3 linked regions of the Danio rerio genome follow. The protein of the gene in region 2 binds, or shares a complex with, the protein of the main gene of each other region. Links are inferred from orthologs where the notes say so. Each region holds a gene or a part of one and is shown on either strand. Other genes may lie near its edges. The genes, in order: pola2, pola1 and prim2.

Evidence for each region.
Region 1: the proteins of pola1 (region 2) and pola2 are in contact, whole or in part, in a cryo-EM structure (PDB 8G99), measured with the Xenopus laevis proteins. The link is inferred for Danio rerio from reciprocal best matches to the Homo sapiens genes POLA1 and POLA2. Residues at the interface, in NP_001082055.1 of Xenopus laevis: Gln548, Lys551, His553, Gln554, Asn555, Phe642, Glu645, Val646, Gln649, Asn652, Leu673, Gly675, Arg676, Phe679, Lys1137, Asp1141, Pro1143, Asp1144, Ile1321, Gln1322, His1324, Asn1325, Lys1326, Leu1328, Leu1329, Arg1332, Ile1335, Lys1336, Tyr1338, Tyr1339; in XP_018112289.1 of Xenopus laevis: Met280, Tyr281, Lys282, Phe283, Met284, Phe285, Gln286, Lys287, Leu288, Met289, Ile291, Arg292, Val295, Ser296, Ile299, Glu314, Thr316, Leu320, Pro321, Gln323, Glu324, Thr325, Val326, Gln331, Gly333, Cys334, Asp335, Ser336, Asn337, Gly338.
Region 3: the proteins of pola1 (region 2) and prim2 are in contact, whole or in part, in a cryo-EM structure (PDB 8G9F), measured with the Xenopus laevis proteins. The link is inferred for Danio rerio from reciprocal best matches to the Homo sapiens genes POLA1 and PRIM2. Residues at the interface, in NP_001082055.1 of Xenopus laevis: Leu842, Lys853, Ile894, Pro895, Glu896, Leu971, His974, Arg977, Glu978, Leu981, His982, Glu985, Gln988, Lys989, Asn991, Glu993, Asn1007, Asn1009, Arg1101, Asp1102, Glu1106, Gln1109, Glu1221, Asp1224, Gly1225, Asp1227, Ala1229, Leu1230, Met1233, Trp1234; in XP_018121015.1 of Xenopus laevis: Pro34, Pro35, Thr36, Glu37, Asn38, Ile39, Ser40, Leu41, Ile42, Phe44, Glu45, Ile49, Ile107, Phe110, Ile111, Leu114, Cys117, Gln118, Ser119, Glu120, Asp121, Arg123, Ala240, Arg241, Leu243, Val245, Val246, Gln247, Arg251, Leu252.

Annotation. Positions count from the first base shown.
Region 1 is NC_133183.1:19,039,907-19,044,045, reverse strand, and holds the start of pola2 (DNA polymerase alpha subunit B), read left to right. Parts: upstream 1-1,276; 5' UTR 1,277-1,376; intron 1,377-1,604; 5' UTR 1,605-1,645; coding exon 1,646-1,727; intron 1,728-2,862; coding exon 2,863-2,987; intron 2,988-3,687; coding exon 3,688-3,773; intron 3,774-3,863; coding exon 3,864-3,921; intron 3,922-4,139. Other genes in the region: dimt1l (dimethyladenosine transferase), read right to left, coding at 1,019-1,076. UniProt on the Homo sapiens protein: Accessory subunit of the DNA polymerase alpha complex (also known as the alpha DNA polymerase-primase complex) which plays an essential role in the initiation of DNA synthesis.
Region 2 is NC_133199.1:27,774,688-27,778,346, reverse strand, and holds part of pola1 (DNA polymerase alpha catalytic subunit), read right to left. Parts: intron 3,269-3,659; coding exon 3,207-3,268; intron 3,103-3,206; coding exon 3,013-3,102; intron 2,935-3,012; coding exon 2,818-2,934; intron 2,741-2,817; coding exon 2,565-2,740; intron 2,027-2,564; coding exon 1,897-2,026; intron 121-1,896; coding exon 1-120. UniProt on the Homo sapiens protein: Catalytic subunit of the DNA polymerase alpha complex (also known as the alpha DNA polymerase-primase complex) which plays an essential role in the initiation of DNA synthesis.
Region 3 is NC_133188.1:26,670,431-26,673,025, reverse strand, and holds the end of prim2 (DNA primase large subunit), read left to right. Parts: intron 1-1,554; coding exon 1,555-1,767; 3' UTR 1,768-1,954; downstream 1,955-2,595. UniProt on the Homo sapiens protein: Regulatory subunit of the DNA primase complex and component of the DNA polymerase alpha complex (also known as the alpha DNA polymerase-primase complex) which play an essential role in the initiation of DNA synthesis.

The sequences.
Region 1 (4,139 bases), on a different chromosome or scaffold from region 2:
TTAGCCCCCTGTATTATTAGACCCTGTTTATTTTTTTTCCCAATTTCTGTTTAACAGAGATATTTTTTTCAACACATTTCTAATTATAAACATAATAGTTTAAATAACTAATTTCTAATAACTGATTTATTTTATCTTTGCCATGATCAAGGTAGATAATATTTTACAAGACATTTTTCAAGACACTTCTACACAGCATAAAGTATTATGTTAAATAGGTTTACTAGGCAGGTTAGAATAATTAGGCAAGTTATTGAATAACAATGGTTTGTTCGGTAGACTATTGGAAAAAATATATATAGCCTAAAGGGGCTAATAATATTAACCCCAAAATGTTTCTTTTTAATTAAAAGCTGCTTTTAATCTGGCTGAAATAAAACAAATGAGATTTTCTCTAGAAGAGAAAATATTATCAGACATGCTGTGAAATTTCCCTTGATCTGTTAAACATAATTTTTAAAACATTAAAAAAAAAGAAAATATATATAAAACTCTGATTTAAGCTGTGTGAACAATTACAAACGTATATGTGCAGTGGACATGTACAATTCAAGATGAATTAGTTCAACAAAGTGCAATGAATACGTATAAATATTAAATAGTGCAGTGTTTATGGGGAGTAAGACCGACTGTTTTGCTTTGGGACATCACTGTTGTGAGAAAACTGAATATACACAGTAAACATATAAATATACTGTACATTTCCTGGTTTAATTTATAAATGTTAACTGGTGTTTTAGAGGTGCAAATACTGTATAAAATAAGTCAAAACAACTGGGATTAATTTATATACATGAGATGAATGAAAGTAAACATTTTGGACCTAAAAATAGCTATAATGCCTCCTCTTCTGTTTTGGAGTAAGAAGTGACCAGGAAGTGTTACTAGCAAGTTCTAAAAGGTTTATATTATTTAAATTTTAAATATATTACAGGTTTAACTTTGATTATTATATCTATAAGGGGACATTTGATTAAATGGTTTGACAGCATGCAGTACTAAAACATTTCAAACCAACCTTGACTCTTCACCTCCTGGTGTGTTCGAGACTTCTTCTCGGCTTTAACCTTCGGCATTTTGACAAATAATATCAGCGACAGTGAAAAGTAAGATGTAAATCACAAAAATACTTATACGTTTACAGCACCACAAACACGTGTAGAAGCTACAGGGTTTATTCTGTTTCCTTTCAGCTGATCTGGGAGGAAATTCGGTTGCGGTTGACCTTGCGCTCCCTCTGCCGTTCTGGAGGAGACGTGCAGGAACCGGAAGTGACCTTTCAGTGGGTTTTGCGGGTAGTACATTTTCGCGGCAATCCGAACGTGATGCAAAGACTGCTGAGGAATATGACAGCTGATTTTGACGTTTAATAAAAGGTAATCTTGTCATACAAGTCATTAAAACGTGTTCATTAGGATTGTCTTATTTCGAACTTGCTGTTATGTTGAGTAAAACTGTTTATAAAGCTAAATAAGTGAATTCGCGAGAGCGCCATTGTGTTTACGTTAGTATTTAGTGAGAGACTTAACATTTCTGACTGTTATAAGTCCGTTTTAATAATTGTGTGGTGTGAATGTTTTTGAAAAACCTGTTTTCTTTTTTAGGAGGTTGTTTTTTTACATTTGAACATCAGAGGACAATAACAATGGCTTCAGTCACTGCAGAGGACATCAAGTCTGAGCTGGACACTTTCAACATAGCCTTCAACAATGACACCATCGACAAAAGTAAATGTCCAATCTATTCATTGTGTGTGATTTTAGTATTGTTGACATGATTTAATGCTCTAAAATATATGCATCTCTTAATTTTAAACACACAAATATACATGTATGTGGTTGTGTGTTTGTAGGCAAGTACTTACAAATACACATTGAGGTAAATTTGGTTTTATGTTCACACATTAGGACTTTCTCCTTAATAATAATAACTTCAGAAATTATTTATTGCAAAAAAAAAACTGAAATCATATTAGCAGCAAATGACTATCAAAGTACAACATTGTTTGGAGTCAAATAAATAGTACCAGTGTTGTTTTCAAGTCATGCTTACATGTGATTTTAGACTGAATATTCAAATTACCATGCAGAGTTTTCAACTAACCCAAGTGGTTAAGATATTTTCTTGCTCTGCCAATATTTTTACTGGCCCCACCCAAAAAAAAAATAATTGCTATTTTTTTTAGCCACACATTTTAAAGAATGTGTCAAAAATAATCTAAGATGTATATATTTTTAAAATGTATTGTGAGCAAAATTCAAAGTGTTATGCAAACAAATAGAGCAGTATGGAAAATGTGCCGGTGTTTTATTGCAGCTCTACATTATTTAACAAATGGTGGCTGACTTGCCAAACTGAAAACTAACTGTGCAAACATTACTTCATTTTTTTCGTTGTGTTGTATCCACATCTGCTACTAAGAATTTAGAAACAAACGTTTTCGTTTAGCCTCATAATTTTATGCTACCGCCTCGTCGCTGAGACCAGAAACAAAAAAAACATGCTCACAACATCTAGTCACATAAGAGGACCCGAAAAGCAATATGGTGTTTTTGATATCACAGAGAAGGTAGCATTTAAAGGCTTAACAGCACAAACTGTTTCTCGATTCTAAGACTGTATTTCGACGCAATTGACATTGTCGCAGGCAAATTAAACTTTAGTAAGCACTGGTACGATTGGGCCAGTAACAATCCTGTCTACTGTCCTGAGCATTTCACACGCTGGCCTGGGCCATCTTCTTGTTGAGCCCTGCCACGGTGAACAATAAAGGGAGCATGTCACAAGTTGTCACTGAACGAATGTGCGAAAAACTTTACCTCAATTAAATACACATGACTTTTGTTTTTTTTTCTATTGTAGTGTTGGAGCAGTGTTTTTGTCACAGGCTGACGGGTGAAGAAATTGTATTCGAGTGGTTTGCTTTTAGCTCCACCAGAAAGCAGCTGCCGCTCACTCTCGAAAACCTGGACCAGTTTGAACAAGAAGTTAGTAAAATGACATTAAAAACTCCAACTGAAATTCTGCAGTGCTTTGAGATGCCAAAAATAAGATCCACAATGTTTCTATGCTTCATTTGCTTTAGAGCTAAACAATACAGTATTCCTGTATATCTTTTCAGCATTGATATTGCAATGTGTGAATCCTCAGTCACATTACATAGATATGCAATGTTGAGTTGACTTTGCGGTGTAATTTATTTTTACATTTACATATACAAAACCATAAAGCTTGCACTGTTTATTACACCTTTTTTTGCTTTGTTGCATTTATCTATGCCTGTAGTGTACTACATTTTATGCGATTTACTCCCTTTTAAAATCATCCCAATCAAACAGATATAATACATTTGTTAACACTTTAGGGACCAATTCTCACTATTAACAAATTGCTTATTAGCATGCTTGTTGTTGATATATTGGCTTCTTATTAGTTCTTACAAACAACCACAATAACTATTAATAAGGAGCAAATTAGGTGTTTATTGAAGCAAAAGTCATAAGGGTTTGCTAAGAGTGAGAATTGAACCTTAAAATAGTGTGACCAAAAAACTATTTAGTCATTTGGTGGAACTGTATAGCATCAGTGTATCGCAATGTACATTACAGACAAATAAAATATTGCAATGTCAAATTTTTCTAGGATTGTGCAGCCCTAATTTGCATACTGCTTCTGCACTCCTTACAGGTACTGAACAAGAAGAAAAAGCCTAAAAGCACCTCAAAGGGAAGCCAAATAAACAAAACCAGAGACATCAACTCCATCCAGGAGCTGTATCCTCATAAAGCTCAACATAAAGATTAATGATTGTTTAATTTTTATTCATAAATGTTCAAAGTGATCTTCTTAACTGAGTCTTGCAGAATCAGAGCAGAGGAGGAAGAGGAGAACATGCTGGATTCCTATTCAACACCTGCCAAGGTGAGACTAAATAAAGACAGAATAATGAGGGAGACTTGTTGGAAATGTATGAAGATAGATAAAAATGCATGGTCTGCAAGTGTTTTTCAGTCACAGATTAACCTCCGGTTAAAGGTTACTGTGGCTATTTTAAATTTCATAAGGTTCCTTTTACAGCATTGATGATGTGATGTATTTAAATTATAATCAGTTAAACAGACGTAAGCATTCATTTAGTT
Region 2 (3,659 bases):
CAGATCTTGTTGTGCCTTCTTGAAGAACTGCTTGTCTGGAACAATGAAGTCCCTCTCATGGAAAGCATGGAGCAGAAGATATTCATTCCTCTCAGAGCGTCCACCCATCAAAGTACGAGACTGCAAGAGAACAGCATTACAGAAAAAAAGAATTACACGCATCACTAGGAGTCATGCATCTCAAAAATACAAAATTAGAGAAGCACTGATGAATCAGCAGCCAAATTTTGAATTTTATATTGGGATTAGAGGGATACTGAATGTAGAATGAACATGGTCGGTATCAGAGCCTTATTGAAATCTGTAAGGCCTGACTGAAATTTCTTTTGCAAAAACATAAAATGCATTACAAAGTGTCACAAGTATTTAAACTTGTAAAAAGAATAATTTATATTTATTATACTAATAATTATAATTTATTTAAAAATAAAATTAAAGTAAAAATAAACTGTATATACACCACAAGAGAATCGATGGAAAAACACTTTACAAGCATGTGTGCATGGGTGTGTACAGTGCATCCGGAAAGTATTCATAGTGGACTAGAAACTGGAAGACTAGTCAGGACAATGTACAGAGATATCCTGAATGAAAACCTGCTTCAGAGCGCCCTTGACCTTAGACTGGGGCAATGGTTCATCTTCCAGCAGGACAATAACCCAAAGCACATCACCAAAATATGAATGGAGTGGCTTTACAACAACTCAGTGAATGTGCTTGAGTGGGCCAGCCAGAGCCCAGACCTAAATCCTATTAAACATCTCTGGAGAGATCTGAAAATGGCTGTAAACCATCGCTTTCTATCCAACCTGATAGAGTTTGAAAGGTACAGCAAAGAGTAATGGGCAAAGATTCCCAAATAATTATGAACAAGTGATTATTCAGTTTTTATTTTATTTTTAATAAATTTGCAACAATTTCAAAAAAATCTTTTTTCTCATTGACATTATGGGGTATTATGTGTAGAATTTTGAGAAAATATATTAATTGAATCCATTTTGTTATAAGGCTATAACATAAAAAAATGTGGAAAAAGTAAAGCTCTATGAATACTTTCCTGATGCACTACGTATGCATGCTAGTCCATTAGTTCATCTTACGATACTATACCAGGTGAAGTATCACAATACCAATCAGTACTGTGATACTACTCGAATTATCAAGGAATTATAAAGAAACTTGTCAGAATTACTACATTTTAGATGTTATAATAGGTCTACTTGAATTTAATACATAATTACCTTATTTTTGGAAAAAAACGTCGTCATTTGTTCGTCATTTCACCTAAAATGTATTAATTTTTTTTTTGTTTAATATAACTGACCAACAAAAATTACATTAAAATAAATATACAAATTATACCAAACGAAATTGGTTACAAAAAGATGAAGTGGTCAGAAATTGTTTCAATGTTTCATGTTGCTATTTTGGGTTCTTCTTCTTTTCTTTTTTTTCTGTCTTATCAAGTAACAATCCAAAGTAATTCAAAATGTAACTTTGTTCTTTTTAAGGGATTGTTGCAGCTGTTGTAGCTACTAAATCATATTGACAGGAACAGAAATGAACAGATTCAGGTGTGCGTTTGAAACATCAGAAAACATGCAACCTTAAATGGCTCCACAGACTATTCAAATAAAATGGTCTACTGTTGCACAAACGTACATATACATTCATGCTTCAATCTTTTTTTGTGAACAATTGTTTATTATTGTAACTTTTGAGTAAAGGTAAAATGCAACTTAAGATTACATTGTAAACACCCCCAAACCTTTACTCAAACAGGGGGACTCGTTCTATAATAACAGAAAACGTATGCTTCATTCTAAATACAAAAGTAACCAAGCTAAAATGTGATTAGCATTGGTGTAGTTATAACCATTTATAAATGTATCTTACCATGACATTACCAGCGATGTTAGTGATCTGCAGTGCTAGCGGGAGTACATTTAATTCGCACATGATTTGTAGAATGAGCTTAGCATCCATCCAGGTGAGCTCCAAAAGGTAGAGTAAATGTGTGGAATCACTATTGCAAAAGAAAGAAAGAAACAAATAGGAATAATTTAACCCTCATTCGTTTTCTTTTTATACCAAATGTTTTTGGACTTGAGGGGTAAACAGGAGCACCCGAAATAATATATCATATTATTTGATATACAATGGGCACTGCCAGGTTTAGTCTACGCTGCAGGAGAGGTCAGAGCTGCTGGATTTACTTATAATTTTCTTCAGATTATTAGAATAAACGTTCAAGAAACATAAACAGTGTATACTACATGAATAAAGCACATAGTCCAGTTATATTTAAAAATAATTATTATTGCCATCTCCATTGTCAAATCTTAAATTCTGTTTGCTTGCTTTTATGTGTATTTGAAGGTCTGAAACACAAAATAAAATATTTGTTAAACAGAAACAAACAATTATTTCTGACAAGCACCAGACCCTCGTTTTATGCCTCAGTGCCTTTAGCAGCTGATGATGTGTGCTCTGAACGGTGTGATTGTACTCGTGAAAGGGTTAACAGTGCTACACAACGGAAGCAGGACTGTGTGCAACCACACCTGTAGAAATTCCTGATGTTCTCTGGTGGCACCACCGGCCTCTCCGCCTTCAAGATCTGGGACACCAGCTCAGTCAGATTATAACTCTTGCACCGGATCAGCTCTTTGGCTGAAATTTCAATATCACAGACCAGGCGCCCACAAGTTGCGCTCTTCTCAGCAAAGCCACTGCGACCCTGTAATGCACAGATAGATTAAAAACACTGAATTCAAAATGTGCTAAGAGTTCAGTGCTTCCAAATAGTTCTCTCACCCCCAGTTTGGGCATGTTGGCTCTTCTTAGACGGCCGATCTTTGACCAGTGAGGTACTTTACACACATTGATCCTCTGCAAAAGCACTTCAAGGTCAAAACCAAAGATGTCATGGCCCTACAGCAAAAAAAAGGTGATTGAATTAAAAATTAATAAAATTCATCAGTAATATTCCAGTCAAGCATTTAATCTCACCACTAAGACATCTGGATCGATCTTGTGCATCTTGGCCAAGAAGAAGCCTAAAAGCGCACGTTCTGTACCAGCAATCTCGACAATGCCGTTCTGAGGTAAACAAACAAAAAAAGACCGCAGAGGTTTATTTAATGCTCCATAACCTCATGCAGAAATCAAAAATAATAGAAATGTAGGCGATTAAAAAAAATAACCTTTTTCCTAACTGCATCCTTAAAGTCATAAGGGAAGACACAGTCATTAGGCTTGCTCACCACTGCAAAAGAATGTAATTAGTTAAATATAACATATTTAATTATATGGAATAGTGCTGTCAATCGATTAAAAATTTTACTAATTAATCACACTTTTTTTTTGAAAATTAATGGTGATAAATCAAATTAAAAAAACTGAATCTTGTAATTTTGCCATTTTAAATGTAAAATTAAGGTAAACGCAAGACAAAAACAATTTATGAAAATATAATTGTTTATTAGAATTTTTGTTTAACTTGTAACACAGATTTCTTCATGTAAACAACATACCCACAATAAACTATCAAGATGCTGGCTTGACAGCCATATTTATTACAGAAATTAAAACACAGGCATGTTAATGCCATTTGAATTTCAAAACAATCAATGCCAATAAAGAAAAAATTTATTTCC
Region 3 (2,595 bases), on a different chromosome or scaffold from region 2:
TCATTGTAAACCGATGGTTCTGAAGACTATCGAAAAAGAATGGCTAATAATTTTGTCCTTAAAATGGTGTTTAAGAAATGAAAAACTGCTTTTATTCTAGCCGTAATAAAACAAATAAGACTTTCTCCTGAAGAAAAAATATTATCAGGCATACTGTGAAAATTTCTTTGCTCTGTTCAACATAATTTTGGAAATGTTTAAAAAGGAAAATATATATATATATATATATATATATATATATATATATATATATATATATATATATATATATATTTTTTTTTTTTTTTTTTTTTTTTTTTTTTTTTTTTTTTTTTAATTAATTTCTTCATTTTCGCTTTTCATTTTCTGGATTTAGGATTTAATATAAATTTGTTGTCAAAATAATGTAATTACTTATTAAATGTTAAAATTAAATGAAAAAACTAAATGTTTAATGTTTTAACGCTTTGTCAAAATTAAATGTAACCATTCCCTTTATTTCCGATCCATGATTACTCCTTTAAAAGAAAAATCAATAAACGTTTATTTTTATTTTATATATATATATATATATATATATATATATATATATATATATATATATATATATATATATATATATATATATATATATATATAAATTTTTTGTATTATTATTTATGCAATAACAATAATTAGTATTAGTGTAGTGTATAATACATTATATATTTCTATCCGTTTTTATTTTTGGTTAAACTTAAATTAAAGAGTTGTCATGAAAGTGCTTGAGTTGATGATATTAAAGTTTTTCACACATAATTTTGAAGATCAGTCTGGGCAGCTACTGTATAGAGATGAAGTTCCTCTGTTTATATCCTCATATTGAGACTGGAGACACTAGCTATGTTTCCATCCACCTATTATTATCTGCATTTTGGATATGCGCATAAAAAATAGTTGATGGAAATGCCAAGATGCGTATCAATTTTCAAAATGCGCATAAAAATGTTTGCGCATAACTGGATAATTAGCATAAATGTTTTGTTCGATAAGAAGAAATGCGCATAAACTGTGATGGAAACATATTAATTAAACAAACTTCAGTATACGCAAAAAAAAAAGTTATGTGATTTTGTTCTGTGAGATTATATGATGTTAAAATGTGTGAATGGAGAAACCAGCATCTGAGCACACGGTAAAACATCTGAAATGTTGTTTTGGTCACTTTAAAATGCAGTAACTGTATCAGTATTCAGTATTAGTGTTATATTATTAATGACCTCCAGAACTGTCAAGAGCGTCTGTGCCCCGCGTCTCACACCTTCAAATGATACCACATGTTCATTGCATGTCGGCATTGTCTAGTGAGGAGCAAGTCATTTATTAAATAAAGTAAAGATTCATGCAGCTTTTGCTGCAAATTCCGATTTTACTGTTGGTATTTGGCACCAGTTAATCAGGAAGTGACTATTTTGTTGTCTTTGGATGGAAATGCTGCTTTATTGCGATATTCTAGTTTTGCAAATAAATTTAATTAGCATTTTTGGATGGAGCTTCTGTCTTCTGCTTACATTTTGTCTTGTTTGTTTGTTACAGGTTGAGGATGCTGGGTTTTCTCTCAATCATCCAAACCAGTACTTCACAGAGAGCCAGAAGCTTCTGGGTGGAGGCCAAGGCATCAAGAAAGAAGTGGAGATGTCACAAAAAAGCCAAGAAAATCCTCCCAGTGCGTCCCGTCCATCTCAGGCAAACCCTAAACAGGCCCAAGAGGAGATGGGGGATTTAGACTCCTTCTTCCAGGATGAATGATTTTGTAGAACCTAAGGAAAATACAGGGCTCTTACTTGTATTCACTGTTTAAGACACAAACTGTCTTTTCAACATTGAAAAACTTGCATATGTCTGTTTTTACCTTGTCTTTATATTGATAAGATTCTTCTCAAATGACATGTTTTTACCAAAAAAAAAAAAAAGAATAAATAAAAGCACATTAAAATTACATAACATTACTTAAGTTTTATTTTTTGTTACAAAGTACTGAAATCTAAAAAAACCAGGACACACCAAGTTAAAGGTCACCCATTGGGCCTTTCTAAAAATATAAAACAGTATACTGTTATTCATCAAGAATCCATTAAATTGGTCAAAACAACTGTAAAAACATAGTTTCACAGAAATGATTGGAAGTAAAATGAGGCTGTAACACGCCAACACTGCTGAGATGAATATATAAGTATATGTGCTGTTCTCTTTCTTCTGAGTAATCAAATAAACACAAGAAAAATGACAGCAGTGAGAAATGGGTTTGAAAATGAACATTGCAATATTGGTTCAATCAAAAAGGTGCTATTGAACTCATAATTGTGTCTTTCCAACTCATTAATCTTCCCAGTGGAACTTGAATAGCAATGGCTGCTGAAAATGTAGGAATATGGCTGTGTTTAAATGAAAATATCTCATAGTTTCACTCACAGTACTAAAAGGTTTTGTTCAACAAAAATGGCAATAGTTGAATCACTCTCGTGTTGTTCTAAACCCCTAGACCTTCATTCTACTTTGAAATGCAGATTAAGATGTTCTAGATTAGGGGTGCCCAAACTCTGTCCTGGAGGGCCGGGGATAATTTTTGTGCGCACA